Anolis sagrei: one gene and its partner. The protein of the gene in region 1 binds, or shares a complex with, the protein of each later gene. Links are inferred from orthologs where the notes say so. Each region holds a gene or a part of one and is shown on either strand. Other genes may lie near its edges.

What was found.
Region 2: the proteins of AAK1 (region 1) and PDLIM5 are in contact, whole or in part, in a crystal structure (PDB 9F6S), measured with the Homo sapiens proteins. The link is inferred for Anolis sagrei from reciprocal best matches to the Homo sapiens genes AAK1 and PDLIM5. Residues at the interface, in NP_055726.4 of Homo sapiens: Asp956, Leu958, Ile959, Asp960, Leu961; in NP_006448.5 of Homo sapiens: Ala12, Pro13, Trp14, Gly15, Phe16, Arg17, Leu18, Phe24, Gln67, Ile70, Lys71.

What each region holds. Positions count from the first base shown.
Region 1 is NC_090027.1:20,519,917-20,527,258, forward strand, and holds the start of AAK1 (AP2-associated protein kinase 1), read right to left. Parts: upstream 3,200-7,342; 5' UTR 2,779-3,199; intron 1-2,778.
Region 2 is NC_090025.1:23,610,771-23,618,276, reverse strand, and holds the start of PDLIM5 (PDZ and LIM domain protein 5), read right to left. Parts: upstream 3,229-7,506; 5' UTR 3,124-3,228; intron 1-3,123. UniProt on the Homo sapiens protein: May play an important role in the heart development by scaffolding PKC to the Z-disk region. May play a role in the regulation of cardiomyocyte expansion. Isoforms lacking the LIM domains may negatively modulate the scaffolding activity of isoform 1.

The DNA of each region.
Region 1 (7,342 bases):
AAACCTATGGAGGAAGGGAGCACCCCGATAATATCTTAAGCCTTATTAAAAGGGGGGGGGGGCTCTTGAAGAGGAGGTAAGAGGAAGAAAAGGAAGGAAGGAAGGAAGGAAGGAAGGAAGGAAGGAAGGAAGGAAGGAAGGAAGGAAGGAAGGAAGAGCTTCTTAGACAAATCTCTCTTTTTCCTTGGGGCGGCCCTGGAAGAAAGGAACAGGAGGGATACAGGAATGACAGGAAAATGGTGGAGACGGGATAGGGGAGCTCTGGATAGATGTGTTATACACACACACACACACACACATATATGTGCGCATGTGACTGAATGTGTATTTATTTGTATATGTATATATATGTATTTATGTATAGGTTTATATGTATTTATGTAGTGTGAAAGGATCTGTATGTATAGAGGTGTGTATGTATTTATACATGTATGTATACATGTGTGTATGTGTATGTATATATTTATGTGCATATAAATATGTAGGTATATGTATGCATAGATTTATGTGCATGTGTGTATATTTATTTATTTACATCCCACTTTATCTCTCCATATGGAGACTCAACATGGCTCACAATTAAAAATATTACAATACAACTTAAAATGTACTAATGTACTAATAATAAAACAGCATTACCATTATACATTATTATATGTTAACAGTATATTTTATATATTAGTACTGTTACAATATTATTATTATATTGTATTATATTATATTATTACTATTATCTGTATACACAACATATTGTGTTCTTAGCATAGCACAATGTTAGTATTATATATTATTTTACTGTACTATACTGAAATATTAGTCATATTATATATAATTATTATATTATCTAGTATTACATTGTGCCGTATACCACTATATATATATATATATATATATATATATATATATATGTATATATGTATATATGTATATATGTATATGTATATATGTATATAACACTACTATAACACTACTAGTATAGGACACCATTCGTATTATATAATATATTGTACTATTTAATTAGTTGTAGTCTAACATATTATATTACAACATTATTAATATTAGTACTGTTATATTACAATGTATACATGTACAGGTTTGTATATGTACAGGTTTGTATATGAATATATTAATATGCATATGTGTATGTATGTATATGTATGTATGAATTGATAGATACATAGATATGTATTAGGGGGTCTCGCCTATATGTATTTGTATGTTTATGTGTGTATATGCATGCATGCGTGTGTATATATCTATTTATATATATGTACATGTGGGTGGATTGGTATGTTTATGTGTGTATATGCATGCATACATATTTATGTATGTATATATACATGTGGGTGGGTAGGTAAATTATGTTCTTATGTGTATGTATATATGTGTGAATAGCTAGCTAGATAGATATGTATTAGGGGTCTCCCCCTGCCTGTATGTATATGCACGTTTATGTGTGTATATGCATGCATTTATGTATGTATATATACATATGGGTGGATTGGTAAATTATGTGCTTATGTGTGTGTGTGTATGTATGTATGTATGTATGCATATGTATCTGTGAATAGCTGGATAGATATGTATTAGGAGGTCTCCCCCTCCCTGTATGTATTTGCATGTTTATGTGTGTATATGCATGCATGTATATGTATATATCTATTTATGTGTGTATATATACATGTGGGTGGATAGGTAAATAGATAAATAGATAGATAGATAGATAGATAGATAAATAGATAAATAGGTAAATAGGTAAATAATAAATATGTAGGTGGGTAGATAAATAGGTAAATGATAAATAGATAGGTAAGTAGGTAGATAAATAGATAAATAGGTAAATGATAAATAGACAGACAGGCAAATAGATAGGTAGGTGGGTAGACAAATAGATAAATAGGTAAATGGTAAATAGATAGGTAAATAGATAAGTAGGTGCGTAGATAAATAGATAAATAGGTAAATGATAAATAGATAGACAGGCAAATAGATAGGTAGGTGGGTAGACAAATAGATAAATAGGTAAATGGTAAATAGATAGATAGGTAAATAGATAAGTAGGTGGGTAGATAAATAGGTAAATGATAGATAGATAGGTAAATAGATGTGTGCAACAGTCTACATGCATAGTCTTTGTGAAATTAAGATGGGTAGGTGGGTAGATAAATAGGTAAATAGGTAAATGGTAAATAGATAGGTAAGTAGGTAGATAAATAGGTAAATGATAAATAGATAGGCAAATAGATAGGTAGGTGGGTAGATAAATAGGTAAAAAGCTAGGTAAGTAGGTAGATAAATAGATAGGTAAATAAATAGATAGGTGGGTAGATAAATAGATAAATAGGTAAAGGATAAATAGATAGAAAGGTAAATAGGTAGGTGGGTAGATAAAATAGATAAATAGTTAAATGATAAATAGATAAGTAGTAGGTAGGTAAGTAGGTAGATAAATAGATTGATAAATAAATATGTAAATGATAAACAGATAGGTAAATAAATAGGTGGGTAGATAAATAGATAAATAGGTAAATGATAAATAGATAGGTAGGTAGGTAGATAGATAAATAGGTAAATGATTAAAAGATAGGTAAATAAATAGGTTGGTAGATAAACAGGTAAATGTTAGGTAGGTAGATAGACTGGTAGGTAGATAGGTAGGTAAATAAATAGATAAATGATAGATAGATAGGTATAGATAAACAGGTAAATGACAGATAGATAGGTAGGTAAGTAGATAGATAGGGATGATGCCTTGGGGCTCCCTGGCTTCCTGCTCACCTGCTGGGGGGGCTGCTGGGCTGCGCTGCCCGCCTGGGCGGCCTCCTTCCGGCATCGCTCCCAGGCCCTTCCGCCGCCACTTCCGCCTCGGCTTCTCGCTCAGCGACCGGGGCCGGCGGGGAGGAGACCATGCCGAATGAAGGAAGGAAGGAAGGCAGGCAAGGAGGAGGCCCAGTCCCCGGCTTCTCCTGCTCCTCGTGCCCGCCTGCCTGCTTCCTTTTCCCCCTCAGGCTTCAGGAAAGGCAGGCTCCGCCGGTGAGGAAGGCCTCACTGAGGAGGAGGAGGAGGAGGAAGAGACGCTCTCGCCGCTTCCACAGAGCCAGCCGGGCGGCGGGAGGGGCCCCGCTGCTAGGAAGAGCCGGAGCGAGGGGGCGGAGCCAAGTAGGAAGGGCTACCTCAAGCCCCGCCCCTTTCACCCCTTCCTGCCCGGAAAGCGCCGCCTTTCCCCTCATACAAGCCCTTTCATCAAAATCTTTTCAGTCATGGCGACACAAAGCAGAAGAATGATAATTATCCCTAGAATATGATAATAATAATAATGAGAAGAACAACAACTTATTTGGTTTTCACTCCTTTTTTCCCACCCCTCCCCCCCGGAAAATAAGACGTTCGCGACGCGTTGCATCCTGGGAGGAGGGGTTCCCGGACTCCGAGTCGTTTGGCTCTGCGGGGGACTACAAGCCCCGATAGGCGTCGCGCGCGACATAGTGCTGCGCAGGCGCAATGGAGTGGTGTGCTCTGAATGGCAGGATTATGTGTCATCTGTTGGCTAGAGCCGGTTTTGGAGTCCCAGCCTCCACCAAAAAGGAACTGGGCCCAAAGCTTAATGGTGATAACAATACTAATAGGTTATTATTATTATATAATAGGTTTATTTCCTGCTTTGATCTTAGGAACCAAGACCCAAAGCAGACCAGAAATCTCTAATTATAATGATAATAATAATAATAATAATAACTTTAATAATGTTGCAATCCCAGGTGACAGCAGGATTGAAGAGAAACAACTGGAAAAACTGACACATGAGGATTTAAAGATCGAACTACAAAGACTCTGGCACAAGCCAGTCAGGGTGGTCCCAGTGGTGATTGGCACACTGGGTGCAGTGCCTGAAGATCTTGGCCTGCACTTAAACACAATCAGGGCTGACAAAATTACCATCTGCCAGCTACAAAAGGCCACCTTACTGGGATCTGCACGCATTATTCGCCGATACATCACATAGTCCTAGACACTTGGGAAATGTCCAACGTGTGATCCAATACAACAGCCAGCAGAGTGATCTTGTCTGCTTGTGGACTCATCTTGTTGTATGTATAATAATAATAGAAATAATAATAGATTTAATAATAATTTAATAATAATAATAATAATAAACACGGGTGTCTGTGGTGGAGGAAGCACATAAAATCTAGGATGAAACAGTCCCCTTATGAAATAATAATAATAATAATAATAATAATAATAAACCTTTATTTGTACCCCGCTACCATCTCCCAAAGGACTCAGTGCAGCTTACAAGAGGCTGAGCCCAAATACAATAGTAAAAACAACAGCAACAACAAACAGCAAAATAACTAAAAAACAAAACAATAACATTAACAGCACACAACGACACAATTAAAATCAATGGCAGGGCCAAATGTAATAATTAAAAATTAAAAGTGCTGGGCATGACCAGGTGGAGTGTTTGGTGGGGGGGGGGGGCATGCAGATATCTTGGATCTCTGATAAAGTGCGTTGGGACATAATGCTAGGAGTTTCCTTATTCTGGGAAGGCGCACTGGAACAACCATGTTTTCAAGCTCCTCCTAAAGATTGCTAGTGATGGGGCCTGCCTGATGTCCTTAGGGAGGGAGTTCCAGAGTCGAGGGGCCACCACCAAAAAAGCCCTATCCCTCGTCCCCACCAATCACGCTTGCGATGCAGGTGGGATCGTGAGCAGGGCCTCTCCAGATGAATGAAGAGATCGTGTGGGTTTGTACACAGAGATGCGGTCACTTGTGTGGTAGGCAGTATGGGGTTGGTGGAGGACACTGGCAGAGTTCTTGGACATGTTCTTGGTGCTCCCCATGAACCTGCAATGTCATTAGAGGGAAGGCCATGAGTGTCTCCTGAGTGGTGGGAGCTGTACCTGTTTGTGGAGGAAATTTTCTCTGTAAATGAACAAGCAGGAGCTTGTTTCTGTAAGTCTCTGCAAAAGGCCACCCTGCTCGGATCTGCACGCGTTATTCGCCAATACATCACACAGTCCTAAACACTTGGGAAGTGTCCGACATGTGATCCAATACAACAGCCAGCAGAGTGACCTTGTTTGCTGTGGACTCATCTTGTTGTGTTTCAAATAGTAATACTACTACTAATAATAATAATAATAATAATAATTCACTGGCATGATTCACTGGAACTTATGTCACAAGTACCACCTACTAGTAGTAAAGAATTGGTGGGATCATAAACCTGCAACAGGAGTGGAAAATGAACACGCAAAAATACTGTGGGACTTTCAGATCCAGACTGACAAAGTTTTGGAACACAATACACCAGACATCACAATTGTGGAAAAGAAAAAAAGTTTGGATTATTGATGTCGCCATACGGGTGACAGTCACATTGAGGAAAAACAACAGGAAAAAACTCAGCCGTTATCAGGACCTCAAAATCGAACTGCAAAGGCTCTGGCATAAACCAGCCCAGGTGGTCCCAGTGGTCATCGGCACACTGGGTGACGTGCCAAAAGATCTCAAAGGGCATTTGGAAACTCTAAAAATGTAACAAAATCACGATCTGTTAACTGCAAAAGGCCACCTTACTTAGATCTGCGCGTATCATTCAAAAATGCATCACACAGTCCTAGACGCTTGGGAAATGTTCAACTTGTGATTTTGTGATACGAAATCCAGCATACAGATCTCATTTGCTGTGGCATACTGTGGTTTTGTGTCAGCAAATAATTAATAATAATAATAATAATAATAATAATAATAATAATAATAATAAATTACCGGTAATAACAAATGTAGTAACAATAACAATAGTCATAATATTTATATACAACAACCTACCTTTTGCCGCCCCCAGTGGCCACATCGGGAATTGCTCTCCTTTGAGATTCAGCTTCTTCATGCAACCACCCTTTGCCTATGGACGGTCCTTCGTCGCCCCCAGTGGCCACGTCAGGAATTGCATGGGTTGTTTTTTTCCACTCAAAAACCCTCATTCACTAAAAATCTAGGTTGAAATTGTCCCCTTATGAAAGCTTTCACTGGGGGGTGGGCGGTCTGGTGTCTGTGGAGAACATTGGCAGGCATTTAGACATGTTCATGGTGCTCACTATAACTTTCAATGTTTGAGGGAGGGCCTTTTGTGTCTCCTGATGGCTGGGAACTATAGCTGCTTGTAGAACTTTGTGTAAGTGGACTCTCTTGCCACATACATATTTCAACTTTTATTATGTGTATAGATAGAGAAAAAAATGTGCTCATTTTATGTCAAAACTAAATCAGGTATCTGCGACTGAGAATAATATGAGTCGACAATGTGATGTGGTAGTAGCCAGCCTCTCCCCTCCCAACATCCCCGTTGCCTCGCCACTATAAGAGGGTTTCACGAGAAAATGCAGGAGATTTTTGGAAGGAATTTGTCATTATAGGAATTCTAGTTCACCTACATCCAGAGAGCACTGTGATTGCAAACAACAATGGATCTGCACAAAATTTTGCTGCGCAGAAGCGGATTTTAGCCAAGTCCCATGCATAAGACACACAGGCAAGAGGAAAAAGGAACAGAAAAACTTATCAGCAGAGGCATAAACTTGCAGTGTTGCATACAAAATCAAACAGTACAACAAATTTACATAGTCCTTGTAAGTAACACAGAACAAGGCTTCTTCGTCTTCATTCAAATGAGAGAACAAAACATAAACCTTGAGTAAATAGCTATTCCACCATAGCAAAGAGCATCGCTGTTGAGCATAGCAGCATTACAGCATATTGCTTCTCTTCCTCGGAGTAGCGTATTGCTTCTCCAAACTGTATTCTAAAATCCATACAGTTATACCCCACCAGGTGTGGCCCAAACATGTTTATTTATCGTGTTATCAGAAACCATACCATTGTGTTACAATTCTAACAGAACAAAACAAACACACAGATTAAAAAGAAAAAGAAAAAAAACCACACAGATTTTGCAAACTTTGTAGTTGGTTAAATGTCCGTCGACCAAAGTTCTTGATTTGTTCCATCCGTAGATCATCCAAGCCAGCTGCTTTGCCATTCTTACATTTGTTGAGAGCCATGTCCAATTCAGTAGATGTAAAAGGTTCATGGAGGTTGTTGACTGACCTACATTACCAGCTGCACATAATAATTAACATCATAAGATTTTTCTTTAGCACACACTTGATCCTGCTACGACTTACTGTAGCAAATTTGGCATGCATACCCAATATGCCCAAATGTGAATGCTAGTGGATTTTGGGCTTTGACATTTGTTAGTTGTACTGGGATTTATAGTTCACCTGCAGTCAAAGAGCACTCTGCACCCTATCAATGATGGACTGGGA
Region 2 (7,506 bases), on another chromosome or scaffold:
CCTGTCTAGAAGGCAGGGGAAGAAATCTCTTTATAGGCTTCATTCTCATAAAGATCTTTTCTGTGGAAGTTCCTATTTTTCCATTTGGCACCTGCCCAGTTAATAAAAGTCTGGACAAGGAGGAGGAAATAGAACCACCAAACAATTCTTCACCTGTTTTGAATGTGGCTTATCACTCTAAAAAATCTCTACACTGCTTGCACCATTTCAAACTGAAAGGTTGCAAAACAGTTAATAGTCCTGCCGAGAAATGAAAATTTGCAGAGTAGGAGCCAGAAAGGTACAAAAAGGAGCCAACCTAATAGTCAGGGCTTCCCAGTTCTAAATAAAACAGTGGTTCCCAACTTCCTAATACCACAACTCCTTAATACAGTTCCTCATGTTATGGTGACTCCCAACCATAAAATTATTTTAGTTGCTACTTCATAACTGTCATTTTGCTACTGTTATCAATAGTAATGGAAATATCTGCTGTGCAGGATGTATTTTCATTCACTGGACCAAATTTGGCACAAATTCCCAATATGCCCATATTGGGGTTGGGGGATTGATGTTGTCATTTGGGAGTTGTAGTTGCTGGGATTTAAAGTCAACCTACAATCAAAAAGTATTCTGAACTCCACCAATGATGGAACTGAACCAAACTTAGCACACAGGACTCCCATGACTAACAGAAAATACTGAAATACCTGACCCCCAGGTTGAGAAATGCTGTAATAAAACAAAGCTGCACTTATTTTCTCTTTCTCAGTTCCTTAAATAATAAAAAGGGAAAGGGAAGGGACTCAGGTCGGCTCTAGGATGAGACTGTTTGTGCCTTTCCTCTTTAAAAGACTTTCTTGCTTTTAGGAGAAAGTGAAGTGTTGATGTGTGTGTATAAAATCAGAGAAGAAATGAATTCCAAACAGAACTCAAAAGAGGGTTAACTCAAGGTGGAAAATGAGAACACAGTGCTGTAGGGTTATTTCTTTCGACCCCTCCTTAAGTAAAGGTTAGAGCCAGCAAAAGCCAAACACTTTGATTACATGCAAAGGGGTCTTATAACCCCTTGGAGACTAAATGTGCATCCACACTGTGGAATGAATGCAGTCTGGCATCACTATAGCTGTCATGGCTCAGGGCTATATGCTCCTGGGAGTTGGGAGAGGGATCTGCTATAGACCTTGAAAAACTTTATAAAACTATGGTACAGCACCATGATTCCAGCATAATGAGCCATGGAAGTCAAACTGAATTCACTTGACTGTGTAGATCAGGCATGTGCAAACTTTGGCCCTCCAAATGTTTTGGACTTCAACTCCCACAATTCCTAACAGCCTCAGGACCCTTCCTTTTCTCCCTCAGCCACTTAAGCAGCTATACCCATGCCTGGTGTAAATGCACCCTGAGAGAAAGAAGATGATACAAGCGGAACAACCCTGTCTGAGAAGTTTGGCCCAATTCAAGTTCCAAAATCCAAAATACTCTAAAATCCACAATTGTCCACGTGATGCCTGCGAAAGCAACAACTTTGCTTTCTGGTGGTTCAATGCAAACAAACTTTGATTCATGCATAATTGCGTTTAAAAATATTGTGTGTAAAATGGCCTGCAGGCTACGTATATTAGGCATATATGAAATATAAATAAATGTTGTGTTTAGCTTTGGATCCCGTACTCCAACGAAAGCATTCCAATATCCAAAAATAAAACTCCAAAATTCAAAACACTCCCAGTCCCAAACATTTTAGATAAGGGATGTTGAACCTGCAGCAGAAGTTTTCCGCTAACTTTCCTCTCCAAAAACTTCTGCTATTAATTTCTTTCTCTGGTGGTGCATATGCTACACAGTAGAATGAATGCAGTTTGACAACCACTTGAGTTGCCCTGGCTCAATGCTACGGAACCCTGGGGATTTGAAGTTAGACATAGCACAGGCATGGACAAACTTCGGCCCTCCTGGTATTTAGAACTCCAACTCCCACAGTTTCTAACTGCTGGGTGTTATGAATTGTGGGAGTTGGAGTCCAAAACACCTGAAGAGCTGAAGTTTGCCCATGCCTGGCTGTAGCACAAACACTCTTTGGCAGAGGAAGCTAAAGACCTTGTAGAACAGTGTATCTCAACCTGAGGGTTGGGACCCCGGGGGGGGGGGGGGGTCACAAGGGTGTCACCAAAGACCATCAGAAAAAAATATTTTCTGTTGGTCATGGGGGTTCTGTGTGAGAAGTTTGGCCCAATTCAATCGTTGGTGAGGTTCAGCATGCTCTTTGATTGTATTCATCCCACCCAAATGTTAAGGTTTATTTTCCTCAAACTCCACCAGTGTTCACATTTGGGCACATTGAGTATTCGTGCCAAGTTTGGTCCAGATCAATCATGGTTTGAGTCCACAGTGCTCTCTGGATGTAGGTGAACTACAACTCCAAAATTCAAGGTGTGCCAAGATTGGTTCAATTCCATCCTTGGTGGAGTTCAGAATGCTTTTTGAGTGTGAGTTAACTATAAATCCCTGCAAATAAACTCCCAAGTGACAAAATCAATCCCCACCCCAACCCCACCAGCATTCAAATTTGGGGTATTGGGTATTTATGCCAAATTTGGCCCAGTGAATGAAAATACATCCTGCATATCAGATATTTACATTACGATTCATAAACAGTAGCAAAATGACAGTTATGAAGTAGCAATGAAAATATTCTTATGGTTGGGGGTCACCACAGCAGGAGGAACTGTATGAAGGGGTTGAGGCATTAGGAAGGTTGAGAAACACTGGCGTAGAACTATAGCTTCCACGGCCCCTTTGCCTTGAGCCACGGCAGTTAAGGAGGTCTGGAACTGGATTAGTTTTACAGTGCAGAGGCCCCCTCAGATCTTTGCAGGCTGCTCTCCCAGACTGTGGCTTTGATGACCCCTCGGAAGACGCTCTGCCTCTTACTTAACCTGCCAGCCCAGGACAGCAAAACGCCGGAGGAAAGTTTCCGAGGCGCCTCTTCTTCTGTCGGGAGCCCTTCTCCGCCTCCGCTCCAGCCTTTAGCCCAGAAGGAGGTTCGCTTTGACGGCCCGCGAAGCCCCTCTTTCTTTCCCTGCCAAGCCCCTTCCTTCCTCCCTCCCTTCCCTGCCTCCTCCCGCTTTGCCTGCTTACCGTCTCGGCACAGGACGCGGCTCCTTTTGCGCCTCAGAGCGCAAACTCCAAGCACACAGGGACTGGCCTTGGGCTCTTGTTTGCGCTTCCGCCCCTTTGCCTGGGCTCCTCCCCTGGGCAGCCAAGGAGGGAAGGGGAGGGAAGGGGAGGGAAGAGAGAAGAGAGAGAGAGAGAGAGAAGGGGAGACAGAGGGGAACCTTCCAGATGCGCCTTTGGAAGAAGCCAAGGCTCAGCAAGCATTCCCTGCCTTGCAAGACTATCCACACTGCAGAATAGGAGAACACTTTGATACCGCTTTAACTGTCAAATGCTTTTCTTTAAGGAAGTGAGAAAGAGGAAATGAGCAGACAGAATTAGAACTGATTATGGCAGGGATGGGCAACCTTTTGAGCTTGGTGTGTCAAAGTTCGCCAAAAAACTAAGCAAAACTAAGCATTCTCTTCCAGAGGAAAAAAAACAACCAATAATTTCACAATTTTTATAGTTTAAATAACAAAAATGGATAATTGTAATATATAACGGTCAGACCCGTAGCCAGGATTTCAATTCGGGGGGGGGGGGGGGCTGAGTTTTTTTCAGAGGGGGTTTCAGGGAGGGGGGCTGAGTCTGAGTGAAAGAGGGTCTAGCCTAGCAAACCTTTTGTATCATTACCCCAATACCACCATGCATATGGGATATATTGAGTATGCTGATCAGATCATGATATGAATAAACATAACAGTTTAAATAATGCACCAGTAAGGCCTTTTCGATAGCTGGGTCCAGAAGCATCGCACGTTATGAAGATGCCGCATCTCTCATAGAATCAAAGAGTTGGAAGAGACCTCATGGGCCATCCAGACCAACCCCCTGCCAAGAAGCAGGAATATTGCATTCAAATCACCCCTGACAGATGGCCATCCAGCCTCTGTTTAAAAGCTTCCAAAGAAGGAGCCTCCACCACACTCCGGGGCAGAGAGTTCCACTGCTGAACGGCTCTCACAGTCAGGAAGTTCTTCCTCATGTTCAGATGGAATCTCCTCTCTTGTAGTTTGAAGCCATTGTTCCTTGTCCTAATCTCCATGGAAGCAGAAAACAAGCTTGCTCCCTCCTCCCTGTGGCTTCCTCTCACATATTTATACACGGCTATCATATCTCCTCTCAGCCTTCTCTTCTTCAGGCTAAACATGCCCAACTCCTTAAGCCGCTCCTCATAGGGCTTGTTCTCCAGACCCTTGATCATTTTAGTCACCCTCCTCTGGACACATTCCAGCTTGTCAATATCTCTCTTGAATTGTTGTGCTCAGAATTGGACACAATATTCCAGGTGTAGTCTAACCAAAGCAGAATAGAGGGGTAATTTTAAAAATTATAACCGTAAGAAGCAAACCTCCTTATGGCCGCGGGTTCTGGAACGGCCAAAAATCTTCTACAGCCCGGAAAACTCCTTCAGAAGTGCTGTTTGCGCAAGAGAGACTTAGCTAATGTAAGTCAGGCTGGAGACAGATAATATAGAAAGAATGTAAGAGTTCTTTAATGGTGAAACCCTAACCCTAACCCTGAACCATACTGTAAGCCTAAGCCTAACCTCTTACTCAAACCCTAACCGTAACCCTAAATCATAGTCTAACCATAACCCTTACCTAACTGTAACCCGTAACCCTAACCCTAAACCTTGCCCTAACCTTTACCCTAAGCGTCCCCTCCTTTTTATCCTTCCTTCACTCTCCCCGCTCTCACTCCCTCCCCCCTTCCCTTATTCACAGCTGCCTTTGCGGCATCTCCGTAACAACTCAGAGCTCAGGACCCAGCTATCATACTATCACTTATATAACTATATTTAATAAACCAAAAATTAATTATTTAACTTAACTGCTTAGTGATTTCTTTGTTCATCCGTCATTCTGTTTCTTCTGTTGATCTTGATATTATTTAACGTATGGGGTGCTGTGAACTAAGATAAGTGAGGGGAGGGGCAATTATTTAACTAACCTCCCTACTAGTGACTTTTTTGTTGCTGAATTTCATTGGCTAAATCTTCCAATGAAGGTTGGTGTTTTGAACATTTCAAGCCCAAGCAAGAGCTACTAATTTCATCTGTCAATCTGTTTCTTTTGTTGGTTTTGATATTATTTAACGCTGAGAATAAAGTCTCACAAAAGTACATAGAGGGAAAAATTGTCAGTAAAGCCATTGCTATATTTTTCAGGGTGCTAAAAGCTGCTCCCTGCTTCACCAGCTGGAAGTGAAGTCAATGATCCCCTAACGGCCTAAACAGAAGTCCCAGAACTAGATGCTCTGTGCCAGAGTTCTGTTGTTTTGGCCTACAGACTTCCAGCACAGAGTGTCTACACTACACTACAGCAAATGTTTCATCCTTGGCTCCTGCACCTGGCCGTGCAGGAGCCAAGGATGAAACGTCCTTTTTGGGATGCAGCCCCATACTTCTCTGTATGTCGCTGCATCCGACCGCATGTCATAGAAAATGGCTATGCGTGTCATTGAAAATGGCTACACGTGTCAGTGCTGACACACGTGTCATAGGTTCACCATCACAGGGTTATGGAGTCATCTGGCTCTTCCACTGGGTCCTTCAGTGTCTTTCAGGCTTGGTCTTTGCAAACTCTAGGTTGACATTTATTCTTTTTGGAACTTTAACTCTTATTTTCTGAAATATCATACAAAACCTGACTGGAACAACCTGGGGATAACTATCAGACACAGTGAAGACATCTGCTCTTTTGCTTTGCTACTCTGCTACTGATTACACATGCACAGTGTGGAACATATCGCACCATGTTAAAACAGTGGATTTGGCTCTTAATGAGACATGCCACATTATCACAGGATATCTATGCCCCACACCACTGCAGAAATTATACTGTTTAGTTGGTATTGAACCACCTCACACCCACTGGGAAGTAGCAGCCAGTAATGAAAGGACCAAGGCAGTGACATTTCCGGCCCATCCCCTGTTAAGATATCAGCTAACAAGCCAATGCCTCAAATCAAGAAATGGTTTTCAAAGATCTACAGAGATACTCGCAGGAACACCTCAGCAAGTGAGAGTCTAAAAGTGGCAGGATAAAACTCGGAAACTCAATCAGTAGCTGAGGCTGGATGAGAAACTCCCTCCTGGGCAAAAAGTGGACTGAGTGACTTGTAAGGAGCTGAACAGACTGCTCTCTGGCACCACAAGATGCAGAAATGGGGCCACAAAGTGGAATCCATGACATAAGAGTGTGGAAAAGTGCAAACCACAGACCACTTACTACAATGCAGCCTGAGCCCTACCACATGCACTGTGGAGGACCTTCTTATAGCAACACCAAAGGCACTCCAAGTGGCCAGCTACTAGTCAAAGGACATTTAGTATAATGCCAGTTTTTTTTAACTTTGTTTGTGTTTTAAATACATTACAACTGTACCTTTAGTTAACTTCTGACAAGATAAATAAAAATAAAATAAACAAATAACCTAATGTGCATGGGCAAACTTTGGCCCTCCTGGTGTTTTGGACTATAATTCCCACAATTCCTAACAGCCTCGGGTCCTTTCCTTTTCCCTCTCAGTTGCTTAATTGTGCGAGTTGAAGTCCAAAACACCCAGAGGGCCAAAGTTTGATATATTTGCTGTATATTTATGCTACAGTGTAGTTGCACTTTTGTTGACCTTGGACAAGTCACATTCGCTCTAACCTCCAAGGAAAAAGTAGGGAAACTTCCTCTGCACAAATCTTGCCAAGAAACTCCAGTAATAGGGCTGCCTTCGGGGCGCCATAAATTAAAAGCAAGTTATTCAATGGAGTGGCATTCATAACTCTTATTTAAGACCAGCAACTGGATTTATTTAGGGCATAATGTCAGCATCTTCATTTAGACAAGACAATTATGTTGATACTGTTGTTCAACAGTTATGAACTCTTTACCAATGTATTGCAAATCATATAGGGATTTGCCATTCTCGCCTACCGTTTGCCCTAGTAGGCATCATTAGGTGAATCTACACTATAGAATTAATGCTATCTGACACCACTTTAACTGTAATGGATCAGTACTATGGAGTCCTAGGAGCAGGGGCTTGGTGGGGCATCAGCACTCTTTGGCAGAGAAGAATAAAGATATCATAAAGCTTACTTAAGCAATCGTTGTCTGAATATGATGGCCTTCCAAGTGTAGTGTCTTAGCAGTGGGTCCGTAGATGACTGTGGAGCCATATTCTTGATCCACATGTTCTTCCACAGTTTTGTGTGTGTGTATGTGTGTGTGTCAGGAGCGACTTGAGAAACTGCAAGTCGTTTCTGGTGTGAGAGAATTGGCCATCTTCAATGACGTTGCCTAGGGGACACCTGGATGTTTTACCATCCTGTGGGAGGCTTCTCTCATGTCCCCACATGAAAAGCTG